2 linked regions of the Schizosaccharomyces pombe genome follow. The gene in region 1 interacts genetically with each later gene. Each region holds a gene or a part of one and is shown on either strand. Other genes may lie near its edges.

The links.
Region 2: mutations in set5 (region 1) and npc2 together harm fitness less than expected from each alone (positive genetic interaction), as found in Schizosaccharomyces pombe (one large-scale study listed by BioGRID).

What each region holds. Positions count from the first base shown.
Region 1 is NC_003421.2:2,033,793-2,037,550, forward strand, and holds set5 (histone lysine methyltransferase Set5), read left to right. Parts: upstream 1-1,886; 5' UTR 1,887-1,968; coding exon 1,969-2,928; 3' UTR 2,929-3,201; downstream 3,202-3,758. Other genes in the region: protein Dms1, read right to left, coding at 1-82, 140-214. UniProt on the Schizosaccharomyces pombe protein: Histone methyltransferase that monomethylates 'Lys-5', 'Lys-8' and 'Lys-12' of histone H4 (H4K5me1, H4K8me1 and H4K12me1, respectively), thereby controlling gene expression and remodeling chromatin structures.
Region 2 is NC_003424.3:4,913,660-4,917,417, forward strand, and holds npc2 (phosphatidylglycerol/phosphatidylinositol transfer protein), read right to left. Parts: upstream 1,759-3,758; 5' UTR 1,372-1,758; coding exon 805-1,371; 3' UTR 312-804; downstream 1-311. Other genes in the region: M-factor precursor Mfm1, read left to right, coding at 3,440-3,555, 3,627-3,639. UniProt on the Schizosaccharomyces pombe protein: Catalyzes the intermembrane transfer of phosphatidylglycerol and phosphatidylinositol.

The DNA of each region.
Region 1 (3,758 bases):
CTTCTTTTTTCATCCAAGGGTTTTTCGTAAACAGCTCACTATAATGAATGTCAAGGAGAGTGATAAGTTCGGAAATGGAAATCTGCAACCATTGTTAGAGAGGAAAACAAGATGCTTCTATAGAAATGATTTAACTTACCTTCGAATGGGATATCTTGGAGATCTGTCCAAACAACTCTTGGCTTTTCGTCAATTCATTAGGAACGGAATTCATACTGCAACAAGTGAAACTTAATAAATTTTCAAAAATAAATTTTGATTTGAAAGCAAATAGTTCTCGAAGGGATTGAATTTCTTCCGGCGAAAGGAGTTTAAAGAAATTTAATTTTAGATGCAAAAGAACAGTGAATCAGAACAAAAAAGGAAGTTAATAACTCGATTTCGCTTTAATAAATAAAAATATTATCATAAACACATTAAAAATTCTATCAATAGACCTTAACTATGTTTTTTATACAGAAAGGAGTATGCCGTCAGTCAAGTTGTAACTATATTATCATTTCCATAAGAAAACTTCTTGTTTTTCCTATTGATTGAAAAATTTACTAATTAAATAGTATCGTAAACTTCAAGTAAAATTCATCAACTAAGTCGTAAGGGACTAATGGTTGAAGATGAACGAAGACAATTTCATAAAAGTTATCGAAGTAACATGTGACTTGAGTTACCAAATTATTGAAAAGGGCATGTAGTAGTAAATATCAGAAAAAAAGTAGGTAAATAATAACAAATGTAGGCGAGTTAGAATAAGATTCGTTCTTTTTTATTATTCCTTTTTAATCAACAATTTGTTTTTTTTTATTGAACCGAAAATCATCGACGCCGAGTAAGAAAGAGTGAGATTATAATAATCCTTGACATGAAGAATTTTATAGTGAAAAAGTATCTCTGATCTTAAAACTTTCATTCATTTTGTCAAGGTCTGAAATGGGGCACATTGGTCAAGTTTCATTTTGTTCACCCTACGAAATACCTATGCACATAATTCACACATTGACAAGGTACGGAAATGCCGAATATTATAATAAATCAAATTATTTCTAGTTTACCCTTCAAATCCTAAATCTCAAAAACTCTGGTACAGTTTCTTTTAAGTGATTTAACTTACATTAACCGAAGTGACATTTACAATTTTCGTTTCAAACAATATCTACATATAAAGTACTGTGTTATGAAGAACTGGCCATAGCAAGATTTTGCTCTTGAGTTCAGTAATTCTCTAAGTTTTAGTATACCAATTCCACATGCATATCGAATAATGCGCATCCTTTTATTTCATTTTAGGTACTTTTTCATGATAGTTTGACATTTATTTTTTAAATCTAAAAAATAATAATAATAATGTAATGCAGAAGCTGTTTCAGGTATCAACATACCAATAAATTCTAGGATTTCAATCTAAGCTTAATCACAAACTTGCGATTATATTTTTTGGTAATGCTAAACCATCGTTTGAAGGATTTTTTAAACCATTTTAATTACGTGTTTTGATATCTTTGATACGGTAAGAAATGGAGCTTTTGTTTCGTCAATTGCCAATCTACATTTTTCTTGTACGAAGGATTTTATAAAAAAATATGATGACAAAGTTTATGATTAATTCAAGATCCTTGACAATAAAATATAAACAAATTGCTATAATTAATAATAAATTTAGGAATATATTTAAAATGCCATAACACTCTGAACATTTTGAAATTCGAATTATATTCCTTTTCTTTTTTTTTTTTTTTTGAAAATTGACAGATCTCTTGGGAAAAACAAATTGTGATATAACCAATTGGGGTTAAAAGTACAATAAAAGAAAAAGAAATATTGGAGTAAATAGTAAAGAACTATTTTCAGCTTTATCCATATATATTGGATTCTTTTTCTCTATTTTTTGCAGCGTATTTCGTAACCACCAAAATCTCCAAACTTTGAAAACTTTAAGCGTCCATGCGTTAATGTATTGCTTAATCGTACTACATGAACCCGTATGAAACAGAGATTTATAAAGTTGTCCCCATTCCTAACAAAGGAATGGGTATGATTGCAAAAGTAAAAATCCCCGTCGGTACAAGAATTTTTGCAGAAACGCCTTTGATAAGGACAAAAAGTGACGCTAAGGAAATCGAGGAAGCACTGTCTACAAAAACAAAAGAAGAACAGGAAGCTTTTCATAGACTTTTCAACGCTCATCCAGACACTATGGGACCATTCCTTGGGCCATTTTATTCCAATGCGCTGACCATTGATGAGACAAAGGGTGGAATGTTTTTACTTGGTTCTCGAATGAATCACGATTGTAGTCCTAACGTGAAACATACGTGGAATCCTAGACTTGATCAGGTTACGGTTCATGCTGTTCGCGACATCGAGGCTGGCGAGGAAATACTTACGACATATATAGACTTACATAAATCACATACGGAAAGACAAAAAATATTGCTCGAGCATTTTGGATTTAAATGTTATTGTAGTGTTTGCTCTGTAGAGGAACGAAAGATTAGGAAAATCAGCGATTTAAGGAGAAAGCAACTGGCCTACTATGACCGAACCATGGCAAAAATGTGTATAGTTAATCCAAGAGGTGCTCTAAGAGCATTGAGACATAGGATACACATTGCCCACGAAGAGCTTCTTTTCGGTCGGTTAGATATAATTGCACTTCTGGATGCCTTCCGATTATGTGTCATCCACGGTGATTTTGAGAGAGCCAGTATTTTTGCAAAAAAGGGGACTAAAGCAATTAGTTTGTATGAAGGAACTGATTCTGAAAAATATTTGAAAATTTCCAAGTATGTAGAGAACCCACGAAGTCATGCTCTTGCTGAAGGAGTGCCTGCTCTACCATTATTTTTAGAAGAGGATGATGAACTATCGGATTTGGAAGATAATTTATGGGGATGTAAGCTTGAAGAAGATGTTTATAGTGATACTGATTAAGCATGGGGTAAAAAACTACTGTTTTTGTTTTTATTGGAAAATTGGGCATGTATTGTTAATGCTCGTCTTAACTTTTAGTTTGATGAGCTTGGGATTGTATTTATTCTATTGAAAAATTATAAAACTTTTATGGATGATAAAAACCTGAAATTGAAACTATCTTCCTGAGATCCTAGAGTTTTTGTATCTCCTTTCTTTTTTATAAATAAAAAATTTAGAAACCTATTGGGGTTTGGCATGAATTGTAAATGATTGAGAATATTTTAATATGGAGAATATTCAGTATTTAGCATAGAAGTGAGTACTGATTTAATTCATACAAAAGGTATTTATAAAAGAAATTTATAAGAAGGGTTTGCAGTATTGAGTAATCACTTCCTATCGAGTTGTAAACATTATTGTTGAAGAGATTTAAGCATTTGGTGCATGTTTGCTGATTTTTTTAAAATATCCAAAAAATAGATTCGGTATTTTGAGCAAAAGCCGATTCACAAATAGAACCAGTAAATCAATAAACCAAATATTCCTTATTATTCAAAACAACAAAAAATTTCTTCAGAATTATACACATTCTTAAGACACTGCTTTTGTAACAATATATAACATATTCTTTAACCTCTAAATAATAAATGCATCAGTGGTGTAGCGGTAACATCAATGCCTTCCAAGCATTAGCTCCGGGTTCGACTCCCGGCTGATGCAGTTTAATATTTGCTTTTTTAGATTATCTACTAAAATGAATATCATTCTACTAAAACTATATTGGATAAATGAATCATGAAACGTGTATCAAAATGTTCTAATACAAAACTGATATGTTGATTCTATCT
Region 2 (3,758 bases), on another chromosome or scaffold:
TCTTAATACCATTATAGATTAATCATTTTGAATCATTCTGTATCTTTATTGTACTACTGGTACTAATTTTGCTTAGACATTTTTGCTCCTTCTTCTTCTTTTTGTTTAAATTATACATACCAAAATTTTGGACTTTGAATAATGGTAATTTTTGGTTGTCGTAGTGTTAAATATGTATGCGTCTTGCATATGAATCACGACGAAGGAATCAATTAAAAAATCAATCCTGTACATAATAAAATTAAGTTTATTTATTTCATTTTATCGGATTTAATCGTCTAAAATTTATATCTTGGTCATCCAAGCTTATATCTCTTTCTACTCTTATCAGCAGCACACTTTAGTTATGGTTATTTGAAAACTTGTGTATAAATTCCTGGTTATAGAGAAAATGAGTATAAGACAACAAAAAAAAGCCTAGTCGGCATGCGACATGTCTCAAACATATCTTTGGCGTATTGATGAGCATCTTACACACTCACTATACGTAACAATAAAATTAAGAGGGATTTCATGACAAAAGAATACTAGAGTGAAACCACTATGACTAAAATAAAAACTGGTAAAAGGTAATTCTAAAATATTAAATCATGTATAGAAAATAGTCCAATTAATCAAGATAGCGTTGAACGTGACCTGATACTAGATTGCACAAACGAAATAAAACAATCTTGAAGTAAAAGCAATAGCACAATAAAAGAGAAGATACCTCATTTAACTTAACAAATACATATGATGTTGACTCCGATTATTTTACATAGCGAAGTAGAGGAAAGTCAATAGGCATGATAGGAATGCCAAGCTTTAATGGTCTTGGTTGATTAATTGAAATCCGAAGTGGCTAAAGGATACAGAGGCAGATACGCATGTCAACTGTTCGCCATCAGCATTGTAGGCAGTAGCAAGCACATGGTATCTACCAGGTGGAATAGCCCAAGGGAGGGAAATGGTAGCTTGCTTGGTGATGATACCAGGTTCAACGGGACATTCAACAGCAGCAAGTTCGTAAGCCTTATCGCAAATGTCCAAGCGCTCATTCACAATTCGAACAAATCCATACTTTACCTGAATATCCACGTAACTGCCATTCAACACGGTAGTACCAACATTAATCTCAGTCTCAATGGTAAGGTTTTTACCGGCAGCTGGGGGATTCGGTATCAAATTAATGTAGTCAACGACAACATGGTCATCGCCACGATCCCAATCGGCACAATAGCTGGCAGGATTGGCTCCAGGGATCTTTTCACTGGTAGATGATACCAAATCGGTAGACTTTGACTCACCAAATGAGAAAGAAGAAAACCAAGAACTGGCACTTATAAAGATGGGCAAACAAGTGATTGCGTAAATAAAAGTTGTTAATCTCATGGTGTCTGTATTGTATAAATCTTATATTAGAGAAGGAAAAAAAGGATAATAAACTATATGTAAATGGATGCAGACTTTAAACAACGCGAAACAAATAGGCGATTCTGGGGCCAATTAATAATTAAAGAAGTAGTAAAGGTACTTCAAAGCAATTGAAATCTGAGGAAAAAGTACAAGAATCCCGTAAAGCAGATAAATTAAGGCGCAGACAAAGCAAGGTTTCTCTCAAACGACAGATTTGAGAAAAACTTCAATCTGCAACGTTTTTTCGAAAGTGAAACCGCTTTAATAATTTCTTTTTGAAGAATTGATTATATAGAGCTCTTTTAAACGTCCAAATCCTACGATAGAAGATAATTCGCCTCAGGTATGATATAGGTGGTGGTTAGGTTAGTAAGATGTCAGAACCCGGGCCACATGTGCTATGCCAGCAACGCAGAAATCGAGGCTCAACACTGTTACTAAGTGGAAATACGATTGTACCTTTAATATAAGCTAATTAATAAATAAGGGATACCCAGCGGAAGGCTATTTTTTAAATACTCTTTTACGAAGTGCTGCTACGATAAAATTGTGTATTGCAATTAACATCCGTAATGTAAAACAATCATAAGAAGATGTAAACAGTATGGTCGAAAGTTTGTAAGCGATATTTGAAGAGATTCAGATTTAATTTGTATAGAAAAACCTTTAATAAGATTTATATTCATGAAGTTCCTAGCAAGAGATATGGCTGAACAGCTTGATAAAGTGAGCGATTATTAAATGAAAGACAATGTGTGTCCCTGCAAACAATGGGGGGTAGGAAACTTTACCCCTAGTTATTGTATTTTTGTTCATTATTATTATTATCTCCTTTGTCTAATTAAAATTGATGAAAACCATTATTGTTGTTTTTATGTATTGTTTACTGTTTCTTAAGATCGACTAGCAGACAACGTCATTTGGCTGCACAAGCGAGTTTTAGCACGAGTTTGAACAAAATCATTAGACTGCTATACAATATGTTAAGCATCTTAAGCACTTGATGTAAAATAATATACACTAATTTATTATAGCGCAGTGCATGGCACTATATTATTTTACCTCCATACTAGGAATATATATAAGCTACCAATATATTTTATAAGGATATCACGAGATGGTAAAAATACTATTGATGCTAGGTATAAAGAAAAACACAAGGGTATACGAAGAATACGGTTCAATGATGATAAAAAAATGTCAAAATGAATAGGATGGATAGAAAAATTTTAATAAGAAATAATGTAATTACTGGAAGCTTTTTTAATTCATTTTTCTCTTTGACCATTCAATCTAATTCATGTATGAATAGTAAATTCCTTATAGTAAATACGGCCCGGCAATTATTTAGTATTGTTGATAAGTTTTCTCAATTTACAATACCATTTGAGGGGGATTACTTAATTGTAAAAATTTTATTGTTATGCTTGCTGTTGGGATAGCTTTGATAGCATGTTTGATTGTTAAGTAATTTTTTGTTTTCATTTTCTGTTGTTTACAAATGAATCAAAAGCCACAAGTCATTGTCCGTTTGTTTACGACCCATTGTTTGTGCAGTAAAATCTCCCCAAAAAAAAAAAAAAAAAAAAACTATCAATCAGCTCTTATCGCTCTTTCTCCACCCTTCCTTGTACCTTTATGATACCAATAACCCTTTTATTCGTTTTTCTTTCGTACAATGGCTTTTCACTATTGTAATACAATAGAGCTGCCCCTGGCGATTCCAAGCCGATGGAGCTGTTACTAACGATAACTTAGTAAAAACAATGTTTAGAGTATGAAAAGAGGTATCTTTGCTTGTCTACATCCGGTGTCTATCTTTGTGCATGGGATTTTTTGCATTATTGAGTATTAACAATTGACTAGACAATGGGTCCGACCAACAAAGAAGTCTCAGTTTTTTTTAAAACTTGGGAATTAAAATTTGTATTAAAGGACAGGATAATTCTGTATTTTCGCCATTGAATTCAACAGCTTTCAATTCACTCTCACGTCTCTTAAACCTTTTTGTTGACATTTCGTTTTTCACTTTCTTTACTTAACAATGGACTCAATGGCTAACTCCGTTTCTTCCTCCTCTGTCGTCAACGCTGGCAACAAGCCTGCTGAAACTCTTAACAAGACCGTTAAGAATTATACCCCCAAGGTTCCTTACATGTGGTAAGTCAATAATTTCCCAAATACTTCGTAGACAGGATGTGTTCAAAATTTACTAACCGATTTCATTTTAGTGTCATTGCATAAATATGTAATGTTTAGACAAGCCACTTTTCTTGCCTACGTTCTCTAGTACTTTAGGACGTCCTTTTTTTTTGCAATTATTCTGTTTTTGTTCAGCTTTCTCAAGCAGACGTACAATTGCT